Schizosaccharomyces pombe: one gene and its partners. The protein of the gene in region 1 binds, or shares a complex with, the protein of each later gene. Each region holds a gene or a part of one and is shown on either strand. Other genes may lie near its edges.

What was found. Proteins that work in one complex are often made in the same cells at the same time.
Region 2: rsc7 (region 1) and rsc4 share a complex: the UniProt entries of both Schizosaccharomyces pombe proteins name them as parts of the RSC complex.
Region 3: rsc7 (region 1) and rsc9 share a complex: the UniProt entries of both Schizosaccharomyces pombe proteins name them as parts of the RSC complex.

The regions. Positions count from the first base shown.
Region 1 is NC_003421.2:1,386,330-1,392,601, forward strand, and holds rsc7 (RSC complex subunit Rsc7), read left to right. Parts: upstream 1-2,375; 5' UTR 2,376-2,468; coding exon 2,469-3,641; 3' UTR 3,642-5,759; downstream 5,760-6,272. Other genes in the region: akr7 (pyridoxal reductase), read left to right, coding at 473-1,474. UniProt on the Schizosaccharomyces pombe protein: Component of the chromatin structure remodeling complex (RSC), which is involved in transcription regulation and nucleosome positioning. Controls particularly membrane and organelle development genes.
Region 2 is NC_003423.3:1,086,739-1,091,534, reverse strand, and holds rsc4 (RSC complex bromodomain subunit Rsc4), read right to left. Parts: upstream 2,571-4,796; 5' UTR 2,348-2,570; coding exon 2,345-2,347; exon of another isoform or gene 2,297-2,344; coding exon 2,214-2,296; exon of another isoform or gene 2,154-2,213; coding exon 611-2,153; 3' UTR 501-610; downstream 1-500. Other genes in the region: SIN3 family co-repressor, Clr6 and Rpd3L histone deacetylase complex subunit Pst3, read left to right, coding at 1-437; cyclin-dependent protein kinase regulatory subunit Suc1, read left to right, coding at 2,757-2,845, 2,961-3,105, 3,157-3,264; F1-ATPase gamma subunit atp3, read right to left, coding at 4,615-4,796. UniProt on the Schizosaccharomyces pombe protein: Component of the chromatin structure remodeling complex (RSC), which is involved in transcription regulation and nucleosome positioning. Controls particularly membrane and organelle development genes.
Region 3 is NC_003423.3:2,914,031-2,919,485, reverse strand, and holds rsc9 (RSC complex subunit Rsc9), read right to left. Parts: upstream 3,229-5,455; 5' UTR 3,215-3,228; coding exon 3,102-3,214; exon of another isoform or gene 3,049-3,101; coding exon 819-3,048; 3' UTR 519-818; downstream 1-518. Other genes in the region: syo2 (ARM-like repeat-containing protein), read left to right, coding at 1-518; pop4 (Rnase P/MRP subunit), read left to right, coding at 3,891-4,395, 4,468-4,616; GINS complex subunit Sld5, read left to right, coding at 5,266-5,455. UniProt on the Schizosaccharomyces pombe protein: Component of the chromatin structure remodeling complex (RSC), which is involved in transcription regulation and nucleosome positioning. Controls particularly membrane and organelle development genes.

The sequences.
Region 1 (6,272 bases):
AAATGATCTAAAAAACTCAAGCACCCATGATATGAACCGTAAAAAACCTTTCCTTTTTCAGAGACCTGGGTACAGAAACTTGATCACGGTTTATTATAGATAAGGGCCACTGTAAAAACATAATTCAAAAAAATATAAATCAATGTTATCTAAAAAAGCAGAGAAATAAGAAATTTCACTAATCAACAGTAAACGTGTGGGAAAGGTTGAATGTTGTAAGACTAGCGTCACATCCCTCCAAATTATAAATCAGAACAAAATTTATACTGACGCTCACGAAATACAAATTACTGAAGATTCATAAACAGACGATATTTTCCTTGATTTTTGTTTCAAGTTGGTTTTCCCCATTTTGAAACTATTTGGTATACCAATTGCACCAGAACTGAAAGTATAGTAGACATTTACTTTTCGTGAGAATTAGAGAATTTCTTAAAATTATTTTTCTTCTCGATTTGACTGTCATTTCACAATGCCTATTGTGAACGGTTTTAAAGTAGGACCTATTGGCTTAGGCCTTATGGGTTTAACTTGGAGACCCAAGCAAACTCCCATTAAACAAGCCTTTGAGTTAATGAATTACGCCTTGTCCCAAGGTTCGAACTATTGGAATGCTGGAGAATTCTATGGCATCAATCCTCCTACTGCCAATTTAGATTTGTTGGCTGATTATTTTGAAAAGTATCCAAAAAATGCCGATAAAGTATTTTTATCAGTTAAGGGAGGAACAGATTTTAAAACACTCGCTCCCCATGGAGATCCTGAATCAGTGACTAAGAGTGTAAAAAATGCACTTACTCGTTTACGTGGAAAGAAAAAGCTAGATCTCTTCCAATGTGCCCGAGTTGATCACAAAGTTCCAATTGAAACTACCATGAAAGCATTGAAGGCTTTTGTAGACTCAGGAGAAATTTCATGTGTCGGTCTTAGCGAGGCTTCTGCTGAAAGCATCAAACGCGCCCTTGCCATCGTGCCTATTGCGGCAGTCGAAACCGAATACTCTCTATTCTCACGAGATATCGAGAAAAATGGCATTCTCGATACTTGTACACAGCTCTCTATCCCAATAATCGCTTACGCGCCTTTCTGTCATGGACTTTTAACTGGGCGTGTCAAGACTGCTGAAGATCTTAAAGACTTTATCAAAGCATTTCCCTTCTTACGGAATATGGACAAGTTTAATCCAAAAGTTTTTGAAAAAAATATCCCGTTTCTTAAAGCAGTCGAGCAATTGGCTCAAAAGTTTGGTATGAGTATGCCTGAATTCGCTCTTAACTTCATTATTGCAAACGGAAAAGGCATGATCATTCCTATTCCTGGATCTACAACTGTTCAACGAGCTGAGAGCAATCTTAGTGCACTCAAGAAATCTTTGAGTTCAGAACAACTTGAAGAGGCTAAAAAAGTTTTGGATAAACATCAAATCTTTGGACTTCGTTACAACAAACAACTTGAATCCACCCTTTCCATCTGAGCATGATTTTAGCAACTTCACCGATTTGAGTTTTTTATTTAATATTTGCATTTAACCTTAACTCCTCTCTAGATTTAGATGTATACATGCTGTGTCATCCTATCGGCATCAATACAATAAAATATTTCTTTAAAAACTAAGACTGTAGTCTTTGAGTTTATTCACACCTTTATATATTATTCTCTATTGTCAGTGATTTATCTTACACTGTGTAAAAAATAGAAAGTAAGGTAGTGTAAGGAACAAGAAAACTTTCAATAAGCTTTGGGTATAATTGAATAATCAGAAACTTCCTTTACACAGAATAATCATGACTTTGGTGACACAATTTTTTAGAATGTCAACTGCTCTGCATAAAGTAATTTAGGAACGAAATTGTAGCCTTGATATAAATTCAACCCTAAAGTATTATGATGGTCTACGGTTATTTCGGTCTAGTCGACGATGCACAAAATGAGATGTCAATAAGCGCGATGCTTCAATCATTTTCTTGAAACTTATTTTAATCAATAGGAATTATCTACAGATAGGTTACGCTCGATTATTAATTGCGATAAGAATTTACATTGAATTGGTTGCCAAGGCTGGAGATTCATTTTTGAATTCAATACAACAATGAAAACCCAACGTATTATGGTGCTTCAAAAAGCGGTGTAGTAGAAAGTATTTTATTTAACTGCTAGTATCTTCTACGACTGACAATCGTTACTCATTTCTTAGGTGTTTTCAATCCTGCATCTAGGAAGACGATCATCATTCTTACTCTTATTGTTTCCGCCAATATGCTTTTGATATTTAGTTATCTAAATAGTAGGCTGCTTGTATCAGTATAACATGTAGCACCAAGGTATGCGTTACTAACAGTAGGATGGGTTTAGTGGTAGTTGTGCTAACTATAACCAAACTCACCACCAAAAAAAGCAATTTTTAACACAGTGCTATTCAGTACGATAAGATTGAACTGTTTATGGAATAAACACCTTGCAATTAAAGTATGGATTCTACGGCTGGCTCCGATGCTTCCACTCCTACAAATCACACGGTAAGCTCGAAGAAGCGAAGAGGACGCCCTCCTAAGGGTAGTTACGCCGCATATGGAAGTAGTGATGATGATGATGAAGAATACTCTGGGCGTACGCGTCGTAGAAATCGTAATACTCGCCCTAGAGTTTCAGCGCCGTCTTCTAGCTCAACAGTAGTACCGAAGGATTTGTACTCACATCGGGCTACTTTGGAAGATGATGAGCTAAACTTTGGTGTAGTAGATCCAGAAGGAGAGAAAAAAGTGAATGAATTGGGGTATTTGAATGGCGGTCGAGAGTATAGATGTCGAACGTTCACGTGCTTAGGTCGTGGTAATCGATTGTATATGCTTTCCACCGAACCAGCGAGAGCAATGGGCTATAGAGATTCGTATTTATTATTTTTGAAGCATCGTTCACTGCATAAAATTATTGTTGATGATTCTGAGAAATGGGACCTTATTGAACGAAATATTATTCCTCATTCTTACAAAGGCCGTGCGGTAGGTATTGTTGCTGCTCGTTCTATCTTTCGTGAATTTGGTGCTAGAATCATCGTTGGTGGTCGACGAATTGTAGACGATTACTGGGAAGGAGAATTCCGCGCTCGTGGTTTCGTCGAAGGAGAATTAGCTGATCCAGACGATAAATTGCCTCCTCCCGGTATGCCATACAATCGAAATCAATACGTCGCTTGGCATGGAGCTAGTGCAGTATATCACCCGCAGCCTTCACTAGAAGCTCAGCTGCCTGCAGCTGCTCGAAAAAGAAAAAAGGAACCTCCAAAAGATGCCACATGGCTTTTTCAACATGCTAAAGCAACTGCAGCTTACAATAATGATATTACAAAATACCTTGTTCAAAAACAGGATATCGGTTATTTTGAACCACATACTAACTTGTTGCATGTTCCCCTTAATACCCAACCTACAAAAACCCATTGGATTCAGGCAAAGACTGGTACGGAATGTCCTGCACCTAAATTGGATATTCTCGTTGCTCTTAACTCGGATGTGGCTCCACAGGTGTCTATTGCAAATATCCCTCCCTCCGTTTATGCGAGTTGTCCACTCCACGTTCAAGAGGCTATTCGCAAACGTCAAGAACAAGAGATTCGTAGTATTCGTTTGAATAGCATGTACTAGAGTGCTCGTTTTCTTTTAATCCTATTTTGTTTTGGATGTTTTATAATATTAATTTTCAGATTGTATACAGTCATTTATCACACGTACGACGTAAGCCCGAATTATCTTCTTACTCGAGTTATTTACGGAGAAAACATGCGTTAACGAAATCCAAAACTTGTTAATCAATTACTTTAGTACTTTGTTTTTGCTTAGTAAAGCGGAAAAAAAGATATTGTCTACAAAAATCAGATGTACATTCAACAAAACTATTAAAGAAATGATGGCGCGACGTTTCCATTGAATGAAACGTTTACCAACCGAAACCAATCGATTAGCTTGTATCCTCTCACTTGTCCTAATCGGTCCAGCCGAGGGCGAAGAATATTATGGAGGATTGTTTGATGAATTATTGGGCATGGTCAGGTCGTAGGTTAAAAACTTTAGGTAAGTCAAAACGTGGCTTTGGCGAAGGAGTATTTGTGAGAAGAACGATTGCTGTTATAATGAATATTAAATAAGCAAAACCGATCACCATCCACATTATAAAGAAAAAACCATTGAATCCCTTCAAATAATACACCAGGTCGACAATATAAGCAACCAAGTGGAGGACAAGGAAAACATACCCGAATTGTCGAAGAATGATAAACTTCTTCATCGTCGCCTGGGTGTACATTTTATATGTGAGCTCACCTCTTACTGCTATCCTGTCGTACCCTGCCATGATGATGAAACCGAGAGAAGTAGATATTCGTGTAACGTGCTTCAAAAAAAAAGAGCGTTTTAAGCAGACGAGAACGGTAAATAAAAAAATGGCTCTTCACGACAAATAAAAAAAAAAGAATGGACTAATTTTCAAGTCCAAGGTGTGTCGCAAAATGTATCTCATCAATATTAAATAGTGAGATCATTCGACGTAATAAATCTTCTATGGACTGAAAGCTATGATTTTTTTGGCATTTTACATTCATCCATTTCCTTGTGTCCTAAGATTTTTTGTTTACTTAGTCTGTTTTGATTACGAAGCAATGAGTGCAAGAGGATCCATTTAACTGCAAGAATTTCGATCACAACTTCCAAACGTCGAGTGCAGAGAATGGATTGACAAACAAAGTTATTATTCTATAAAAGACCAAACTGATAATTTTACTGTTTTTATCTCTTTTCATTGCGGATACAATGTGCTTTACCGCTTTATCATTTTTATAGTAACTATTGAATCATCGAATCTGGAAAATGGTACAGATTTATCACTCGTTGCTGTTGCCGATTTCATCTTTAACACTATCAATATTGTATCTATTATTGCCATGATTTTTTATACTCTTAAAAAGTTCGATATTGAAATCACTAGAGAAGTAATGGATTATTTTACAAGATATTTTGACGGACAGAAATTGAAGAAAAATAACGTATAAATTCAATCATTTAGTCACCTTATTCAATGTTTTTCTAAGAAACAACGCTTCAGCATACTAGCTTTAATGGAAAAATTAACGAAATTCAAGTTTCCATAGAATGGGTGGTGAAGTATGAGAACACATAAGCTGTTAAACTTACAAAATTAGCTTTTAGGAAATTACCAAAGAAAAAAAATCTCAGAAGGAAGAAGCTCAATGTGAATTGCTAATCACCGCAATAAAACTTATTTGGCATTCATTCCGTGACGTTGATCAGGTTCAGTCATAAAGACTGGAGTGTATTTATAGAGGATCATTAGATATATTTTCATCATCGGTCTGACTCTTTGGCTCAAGGCATTGCTTATGAGGAATTTGGTTGACTAGAAAACCTAAGGAGCTGCCAATAATTGATTTGAGGATTATGTTATTAATTTTACATTTTTGGGACCTTCAAATTTTTAAAGTGCATTCATCTTGCTCATATTTTGTATAAAGTTAACAGTGGACCAAGGTTGGAGCACGCCGTCTGCCGGAACTGACATAATACTGAACAGCATAAACTTCATAGTTGTTTGTGTCGTGTTTATTTTTGGTACTTATAAACTCAATATTCTTTGCAAAAAACATGAGCTAGATGAATATTGAGAGATTTCTGAAAAAGCCGTAGTATGAAGAATGAATTTTTATATACAATTTTGAGTCTACAAATAAAATGTACACGTATCCCGCCTAATACCATTTTTGTAAAGTGACTTGTATAGTATTGTTGAGAACAACAAAAATGGAAATGCCCGCTCAATTTCTTTTAACTTTGTGCAAAAGAATAAATAGTGTCCAGTAGCTTACAATTGCAATAAAGAAGAATTTAACTTTTATAACTTGAGATGAAACAAAAATAGATAATTAAATAAGCAATAATAATAAAAAAGAAACGAGAATCTCGAATTTTCAAAGTTTTAACTACCATACTCATTTCGTCTCGACAAGCTGTTTTGTGTTGATAATTTAAATTGTTTAATTATGAGAAATTAAAAGTCTAAGCACTGTAAGTTGACTGAAGTAAAAAGAGTTACTTTCGAAAACGACTCTATTCAAAATCCCTACATCGTATTCATTCAATAACGACTACCGCTGTAAAACCCAAATAATCATTCATTACTTTAATTAACAATCATCATACAAAACAGATTTTTTATAAAGAATTTTAAAAGGATTAAAAATGCATTATATTATTGCTAGTTGTTAA
Region 2 (4,796 bases), on another chromosome or scaffold:
AAAATCCTGCGAAGGCATTTATGTACTATGTTGATAGCTATGCCATTTCTCATATCACTGAAGGTGTCGATTTGATGCAAGTTAAAATGCCATTTTTGCGAAGATCACTTCAACGAATATCGCAACAAGGCTATCTCGCAGGTCGAGGCTCTGGTAGGTTGCATTCTTTGTTTAATGAACATTTCTGCAAATCGAACCTTCAATTGTTTTTTTCAACCGACACCTATGTCATATTTTTTGAGCCCAATACCGAAAACGTTTACATAAACTCATACAATCTTTGGGTTGATCAAAGCTCTCAAAGCAAGAAACAAAATAGGACTACAAATTGGAGGAGGTGGCTTGAAAGCGATGAAGGCTGGAGAAAATCCAAAGCAAATACAGACATCAAATTTTTTTCTGAGACCACTTTGGATCAATGTATTGAAGCTATGTAAGTTTTAAAAATGCCTGAAATACCTTTTGCTTTTTGAAAGCAAGTTAATTTTGTTAAATTGTGACTTTAATATCATACTACGATTAAATAAATCTGTACATATTTCAAACGAATGATACCATTTATTTTAATTCCTTGTATTAATACATTTTGTCTCTATCCAAAAAGTGTAGCTTATGGTTGGACGTAAGCCATCAACACAAATCGTTCCCTTTCGACAGTCCGAGAATATGCCGACGCAGGTAAACCAGGTTCTATTGAAGGTGGTTCCACAGGTTCAGTGCTACCCAGTACAAATTCTAGGCAGTTTAGACCAACAGAAAGTTTAGCCTCGTAAACTGTTCTGATCGGCTCCTCAGTATGCTTTATGCCTTCAAGAGCATACAGCGTAGATGGTGGAGTAGACACGCCAGCACCTAGACGCTTTCCATTTAATAATGTGATTATGGTGTATGATTTCAATGCCAGAGCAGGATTTAAGTTAATAACAATATTAAGAAACGAATGCTGAGGGGCCAAGGTAATCACTGAAACTTCCGTAGAATTTAAGCTTGGGCAAGGCAAATACATACGAAGGGGATTCGGCAATGGTAATTGTGGAGGACTGCAAATAAATGCAGAAAGAATGCAACGTTCAGTATTAGGTATGTCTTCAAAAAATTTGGGTTCTGGAAAATTTGGCATATTAAAAGTACTACGACCCATCACCGATTTATGAGAGAAATTTAAAAAATCCGGAACAGGAGTTGAAGGAAACGATTTAATAAGGGCAAATGCTCCGTAATTAGCTTGAGATAATGTATCCATGGGTGATGGAACATCTTCGGGTATGGGAGTTTGGTCCTTTTCAGATTCTTTTGAGAAACTTTCAACATGAGCCTCCTCTGACTTCAAAACATCTGGAGTGGCTGCCTGATCACTGGTTATAAAAGATGGGGCGACTGAAGTAGAACGTTCGCGTGAAGTTGAAGCAGATACAGAAGGAGTTGGAGATGCGGGGGTTTCCTCGGGTTCATGCTTTGAAGTTGCAGGAGAGTGTTCCTTAGGTTGTTCGGAAAATGAAGAAATAAGGGAAGATGAAAGTTGAGAAAGCTTTTCAGCATCTTCATAGACAAAACTTCCGGGGGCGTTATACGTTTTGGCGTTAATAAACATTTGATTTAAGTCTTTTACAAAGCTTTCCAAAGTCGTATACTCTCCCTTTTTAAACCTTTTTTCCAACATTTTTATAGTCATAGGGGATTTGATAATTTCATAGTAATCCGGGTACAAACGTTTGCTAGGAAGGTCTATAAATATATCAATTAAAAAACGACCTTGTTCATCCTTTTCTTCATGTAAGGCATCTAAGATATTTTGAATAACCTTTGGAACATCAATCTCATTAGTGCCAGGTTTGTGTTCCTCGTTGATGCTTGACTCCATTTCCTCATTCTCTTCCTCATTCAAAGTTCCATCCTTGCTTTCTAATGAATTAGCAGTATTTGCAATAAGCACAGAACATTCATAGACGAGGCTTCCAGGCATATTGTAAGTCTGCGCATTGCTAACCATAAGCCGAATATCATCGTAAAAGTCACCCATTGACAGATATTTACCAGTCTTCGCCTTGTTGCGCATCATCTTGTAGCAAATCGGCTTTTGAATGATTTGATAGTAATCTGGAAAATATCGTTTGGAAGGAAGTTCTTCAAAAATGTCATCAAATGGATTACCTCTATTTTAAATAAATTATTAGTAAATGGACATGCGACACCTAACTCCTTTCAATACATACTCGTTGTCCTTTAAACCCACCAATGCTTCTAAAACTTCATCAAACTTGGTCTTATCGAATGGGGCATTATGACTATCATCAACCTATAAATATTAGTATGTTGTAACAAAACACGGGACATGAGAATATACCATTTTAAATAATTTATTATATTGCAACGTTTATGTACAATGAATAGAGTATATCAACTTTAATTAGGTCCGCTTGCGACTGTATATTCCAAAATAATACACAATTTTTCGAATTACAATAAGAAACCGTTCACTTTATAAACTGAATTTTGGGAATTATTATATAGACCAAAAAGGCTTTGAAAAAGAAATAGCTAGCGCAAAAAACCTGTTTTCTGCAACCGATAACTTTCGTTTTAGGTATAGAGTGTTGAGTTGAAGCCCAAAGTTGTGTGTTACCTAAAGTGAGTACTGTTACTTTAAGTCTAAAACGAAATTTAGCGACCTTTAACGGATCACCCAAGTCCTAGAGTATCCTATACTTTACCCATCTCAAAGAAAAGTTATTCTTTTTGAGTATTAAGGAGGAGATATGTCGAAAAGTGGTGTGCCACGTCTTTTAACTGCTTCTGAGCGTGAACGTCTAGAGCCATTCATTGATCAAATCCATTATTCTCCTAGGTATGATGATATTGTTAAAGAAACTGCCATACTTTGGGAATTCTCTAGGTTCTTTGTTTTCCCCTAAAACGAGACTCTTGTATCTTATTTGAGCAAATGCTAATCGATGAAATAGATATGCTGATGATGAATATGAATATCGACATGTTATGTTACCAAAAGCAATGCTAAAAGCGATACCCACCGATTATTTCAATCCAGAGACTGGAACGCTTCGAATCCTTCAAGAAGAAGAATGGAGAGGACTTGGAATTACTCAAGTAAGTAATCAAGGATTTTAACTGCTCAAAAACAAACTGACATTTATTTAGAGTCTGGGATGGGAAATGTATGAAGTCCATGTCCCAGAGCCACACATCCTGCTATTTAAGCGTGAAAAAGATTATCAAATGAAATTTAGTCAACAACGGGGTGGTTAAGTTTGTCAACTCCAACGTTTCTGTTTTACTTTATCAAAAAAATATTAGTTCATGGATGCGAAACATATTGACTTTTTAGGCATTCAATACGCTGCTTTTTTTTATCAAGCTCACTGAGTGTTTCATGTGGGAGTCGCTAAAAATGATAATGAATTATCTTCGCCATTTATGTTTGCTACAGACTAACAACATATTTGGGCAATTCCTACTTTTTTTTCACTGTAGATATACTTTACTGGTTCTTTTTATTTTCTTTCAAAATCATCTTTCTATTTTCTTTTATCTTTATTTTTTATCGTTTATCGTTTAATATAGAATCTCTGTCTTTTCATTCACGTTAGCATAGAGTTTGATCAACCACAAACTAGTTTTTTACATTCCTCCTTTAGAAGTTTAAAGCACTCCTACTGGTTCCTGCTCACCTTCAAACCATTCCGTCTCAAAGACGATTGATTCCTAGATGTTTGCAATTGATGAATCCCTATCGGTTAAGTCAGACTTTACAATGCACATTTTTCTCTAAAAAATGTGAAAACGTACGTTATCATTAAGTGATATTTTGTATATTAGGCTAGAACATTTTGCGTTTCATGCCACTGATTCAGTTGCCTTTTATTCAAAAATGTTGTCAAACTTTACAAAATTTTAGTAAGAAACTCACTTATAGTACTTAACAAAAATTTCCGAAAAAAACTTACTTTTATTTATAAATTCCGTAGTTATGTAGTTTAACATTACCTTTGTTCAAACTAGCTGTGATTAGCTTGTTTAAAATCTTCATATACTTATAATAACAACGTAAAAAATGTCTCATGACTCCATTTGTTTACAATCAGCGAAGATAATCAATACATTTTTGCAATGCCAAGTGTTTTATTAAGAAAAACATGGAGATACATCTGTAGTAATTGTGACTCATATTTCCAACTGTTAATCTATTGCGTCAGGTGCTTCCATTCTTTAATTTCCACATGTATTACTCAATTTAGTTCTAAAACAATACAATACTAGGACTCCTCTGTCATCTTAACAAATTTGCTTGATCAGCCCATATTAGCTATCACAAATGGCTACTCAGTTAAGTTGCGCACACTTACATGCTTTACAAAAACCTCTTCAACATTCTCTACATGAAAAATACTTACGATAAAAAGATGGACGTAAATTTATTAAGAACAAAAGGTAAGCTTAATCTGAACGTTTTCAATGAATTACGGTTCAAATGGTATAAAGGTAAAAAGTTAAGCTAAATAGACAAGAAATATCGTTGACTTCAGCGCTTATATTTCACAAACTTCTTTAATTTAAAAATCTTAACATGCATTTGAACCTTACCAAAGAGATCAAGAATTAAGCCAAAGAGTTTGCACCAGTAACGATATCGATAAGTTCGTTAGTAATGGAGGCTTGACGTTGACGATTATATTGGATGGAAAACTTGTTAATCATATCTCCAGCACTCTTGCTTGCATTTTCCATGGCGTTACGACGAGATGACATTTCACTGCAATGAGCTTCCGCCATGGCAGAAA
Region 3 (5,455 bases), on another chromosome or scaffold:
GCTTAGGAGTTTGGCCTTTTAGCTCAGAAGGTTTCACAACGGCTTGTAGTCTACTCTGGTCTGTCTCGAAGCCCTTTCCGGCTGAAATTCAAGTTCTTTCAGTAGATGATATTTCTACCTTGATTTTATTCAGCTCGACTCATGGTTCGTTGGAAGCACAATCTAGGTTGCTCGGTGCCTTTGGAAGTTTAGGACGCTGTGGCAACATACAAATAAACCAACTTCTTGGGCAGACTTTAATGTCATGTGTAATAGCTTCTGATCCAAATCCTCTACTTGCAGTGGAGGCATTGAATGCCATATTTGATGTATACGGCGATAAGTCATATCCATATGATGCTCCTGTTTTTAAGGGATCCGGATATCTTTCACAACTTTCAGAAGCCCTACCGCGATTAAAAAATATGGTGAAAAAAATTGACCGTCGTCGAGAAAAGCATTTGCGGTTCCGTGCTGAAGAAGCTTTAGAAAATTTAGAATCTTTTATAGATTACAAACATGCTGAATATGCTTCATAATACAATCTTTTTGAAAGGTTTAGCTTTTGTTTGTTTTATTTTAATTATTTTAATTAACTAGGGTGGTACATTTATTAACTTGGGTTCCTTTTTTTCTTTTAGATTGGACAAAAGAAGAAAAAAACATTTACTAAATAGTTTAAAAAAGAAAATTGACCAATCACACATCCTTCATAAAACAAGTAAACGTCGTTGACATATATGTACATAGTAATCTGAGATATGAAAAGTGATGTCGAGATGCTTGACCTTAGCAATGAGATTTAAAAGACATGTTATGACTATCGAGCCATCCAAAATTTATATTTGACCAAGAAGCATCTCACTGACATAGGGTGCAACAGCAGGATTTAAACTACTAACCTCTAAAACACGACTTTCAATTGCAGAAAACAGCATCTTACCTTGTTTGGAGCGTACAAGATTTCTTAAGACCAGAGTAGCAGTAAGTGCAATTCCAGTTGCATCGCCTTGATCATCGACAGCTGTTAGTAATAACGGGATACGGAATTCTCTTGATGGAGATAGTTTTCGTCCCTCAACCAAAGTTTCTAGTGAATCATCATGAAGGTGCGTAACGATGTGAGACAACAACTGATAATGCGACAGCTCTGAAGCAGGCGTAAGCCTTTGGATTTCATATTTACAATCGCTCCACCTGCATTTCCCTGTTTCCAATATTTGTGGGAATATATGCATTTCCTGTAAATGAGAATGTAATAATGGAGTTCCCAATAAGAGCTCCCCACACTCTTTCCCGCTATCTAAACACCACCGACACGGTTGATATCTCATTCCATTTACAGAAGTAGGAAATTTACGACGCTTGATACCATTTATAACGTATTCAACCGGCAATTGAGGGGTCGACACAGTCATCGCACGGGCGTTATAAAAGGCATGACTTGATACTTTAATAAAATCGGCAGGACTTATACCCATAACATTGGGCCCCTGAGCACGTTCCATGTCGCTGCAATACAATTGCCAAATATCTGTCTGTAAAACATAATCATCAGAACTTGGTTCAAAGCAACACCTCATCCATTTTACAGACCGTTCAGGTTCTCTCATAGCTACCAATTGCTGTAGCTCTTCCATAGGCAAAGAAATGGAAGATGTGGCTTCATGTTTTACAGCAGGGTTCGATTCACTATTTTCAATTGTCACGGTCATAAATCTTTCTTGGGCTTGATACATCATTAAACGTATTAATTGATCAACGAGCATCCACGCTTCCTGACTTGCAAGTAGATTTGATGTATTGGTTCGGTAGGTAGTATATTGATATAAAAAGTCAAGAGCAGCGGCAACAATTTCCTCATTGTCCGTTTCCACTAGAGCAATTATGTTTGCAATTACATTAGATTTTAGATCTTGTAGCAGTCGATTGTTACGATCATTAAGAGCTAAGCGCGCAAGGGTGCGAAGAGTTGCAATTAAGATTGAATAATCTGAAGAATTAAGAAACTCACAAAGCGCCAAGTAAAATACATTTTTCTCGTCCTCAACATGAAGGTATGAACTAATCATTTCTGAAATATCCAAACAATAGTGTAAAAACTCCAAATTATTAAACGTTTTTGCACATCGAATGGAAGCTTCTAAAACTGAAATGACAAGTTTGGTTTGGGCAACATGCTTAGCATTTTCAACACTAAGGACAGAATTACGGAGGACTAAAGCAATTCCGATTGCTCTATCCATACAAAGTGAAATGTCTGTTAGGTCTGAAACTTGCTTGGCTTTTGTGACTTGGAATCCTAGACTGTAAACTAAACACTCTGCAAGTGACGGTAATCTTTCCAACTTAAACTCCTGATGCCTTTCAAAGGAAATTTTGATAAGATGACCAATAGCCCAGTCAACTTCTTTGTCTTGCTGAGACTTTAGGGCCAGCGCAACACGCACTAGCAATGGAGGACCAGGGACGCCAGCACCCAAAGCCGGAGGTGTCAAATTTGAATTACGGTCAATATACTTTTGCAAACCTGAATCCACGGGTAAGGGATGGAAGGGCACTGAAGGAAAAGTTGTAGATGCAAAATTTGTAGAATTTGGAAGAGGTTGAGAAGCAGAAGAGTTCATAGCTTCATTTATTTTTTTTTCAATACCATTCTCTTCGTCCTCCTTAACAAGGCTTTTATAAAATTTTTTAAAAGAATGAGTCTTATCATTGTCTATAATGGTAATTGGATTCGTTGGCTTAGGTGGAGAACAAGAATTAAAAACCTTTACACGTTCAAGAACGTTCTGCCTGTTTTCACTTAGTTCTAACGTAGAAGGAGGAGGTAATAATAGGTGCCAATGATCATGAATTTCCCATGAAATTAAATATTTGAAATACACATTTTGCAATATGCCAGCAGATCTAGCCGGGTCGGACTGATTGAATTCTTCTGCAATATTCGTCCAACCGTCTTCAGTCGCACTGACAGCATCATAACCGCCGCGTTTAATGACCTTTTTATAAAGCTCATATAATAAAATAGGTTTTCGCCCAATTTTAGGATTGATATCTATTGGAACGCTAAAAAGGATTAGAAGTGGTACACATAGAGAATTAAAATAAGGATTACCTACCCTCTTTCTTGGGAGAAAGACTCAATTAGGCTTAAGAAAGAGTCATTTTCGTTTGTCAATGATTTATTACTATAAACCGGCTCTTCTACTGCTCCCTGAATGACTTGTGACATGAAGCGCGCGTCGTAAAGTAAGTAGGTGGTCAAAAGTAGTATAACGAAACCTTTCACAACTTTTCGAAATACTAAGTGGGGGAGACCTTGGGCAGTTGAAATGAATACATGGGGTAGGCAATTTACAACAACGAACACTACATTTCACTATACTATGCTGTATTAAATGTATTACATGTCCCCATGTTCTTCTTTGTATGAGTAACTGGTTCTACCGATACAACAAGCTTTCTTTGAATTTTGATTTTTAAATAAAATTTCATATCCATTATTTCCGTTTTATCTTTCAACTGTCTATTAAATAAACTTGTTTTTGTGACTAATCTACACTTGTTTATTCATATCATCTACTTAAGAGAATGTACTGAGTACAGAAAATGCTTATCGCAGTCTAACGATGTTTTGTAATTTTGCAAAGTGTATATGACCTTGATGGTATATATCTTTAGTCTCTAGTGGGGTAAAAGTTCTCAAACGGGGGCCAAATTGTATTATTACTTTGGAAGTAGTATCTTGCTGTACAAAAGTATAAAAAAAGTCTCACATATTACCTTTACCACCAAATATCTAGACTTGCCAAATGGAGCAATTTTCGTAAAATAATACAACAGATATAACTTGCTATTCCTTTAATTATTATTACCTTTACGTTCAAAAGACAATCCATTTGTACTGAATGGCTGATCCACTATACTCTTCGTTGAAAACTGTCAATTCAACTTCTAAAGTGACACCCGAATCCCTGGTATTTCAAACAAAAATCCTAACACCTGAAGAGGCAAAAAATGTTATAAACGAAAAAATTGCTTTCAAACCGCTTTTACTTGTCCCTTCTCTAAACTTAGAAAAACAAGGAGATCGAAAAGAGTCGGTTGCTTCAAAGAAAAGGAAAAAGTTGTCTTCAAAGGAGAAAAAAAAGCTGCAATTAAATGTTGTTCCAAAGATTGCTGACTATAGCCAATTCAAACATTTACATTCCATGTGGTGCTCTTACATATTAGAAGTGATAGCAGGATGCACAGGTGAATCTTTAATGGCCAAATTAGCAAAAGCAGAATATCAAGGTGCATATATGCAAGTTCTTCGGAGTAAAAGTACTACGCGAGTCGGACTTGAAGGTATTTGTATCCACGAAAGTAAACATATGCTCTCTTTAATTACTAAAGAAAACAGGGTTGTTCGTAAGTACCATTTTCAAAACATTGTATTTTGAAAAATATCTTTGCTGAGTAACTTTTTACTAATTCGTCTAGGTGTTCCCAAACAAGATTCTGTTATGAAAGTTATCGTTGATGTTCCCCAAAGGAAACTTGTTTTTGAATTGTATACTCAACATTTACTATTGAGAGCAGGTGATAGATCGAATAAGCGTTTTAAATCGAAAAATACAATAGATCTCTGAAAGTTGTTAATTACGTGATTCTCTTAGAGAATCGTACTTGCGATTGATTGAAATGGAATACTAGAGTGGTTTCTTTTTATTAGTGTATATATATTGGCAATTTCGTACAAATACTTAATATTGCTTACAGAGCACGCAGTGTAGACAATAACTTGTTCATACTTGGCAATATTGTATGTTTGCTGTATATTGTAGAGCTTAAACGACGCCAGTCTCTAAAATACTTTCAGAGCACAGATCTTTTTCCATTGTATTTATTGATCCAACATTTTAATACTAATTTTCGTTTACTGAATTTCTAAAGTATAAGTGATAAATCGCGCCTTTATGCAATTCTTCGCTATAAGATTATAGCCTTCGATTTTTTGATTCACGGGCAATAATATAAGATGTTACTGAAGTGTACGATAACTAAGACAAGTGAATGGAATGCATAGGATAAAACGAAGATTATGTCAAAGTCGTTTAAGAGCAAGATATGCTTTTGGGATTTTTGTTTGAAAAGGGACGTAAGTAACTTGTTACCTCTGCAATTGGACTGATTTAAGTGCTATGTAAACTACTAACATATCTTGAGTAAAAGCTTGTAGCTTTACAACAAGGTCTCATTTGCCTTCGTGATTTGAGCATCCTTGTATATTTTTTATGGATGGAGTGGGATGCTGATGATTTGCTAATAGAACCGACAACAGAAGTGGAGAATGATTATGAGGATTTATGTACTCAATGGGTGAATGAGCGAATGGCTCCGGATTTGTTGCCTTTTGCTGAAGAAATTGTAAGCAGAGTTCTTGATAGAATTGAAGCACAACGAGAAACTCTACAATTGGCCATTGGAA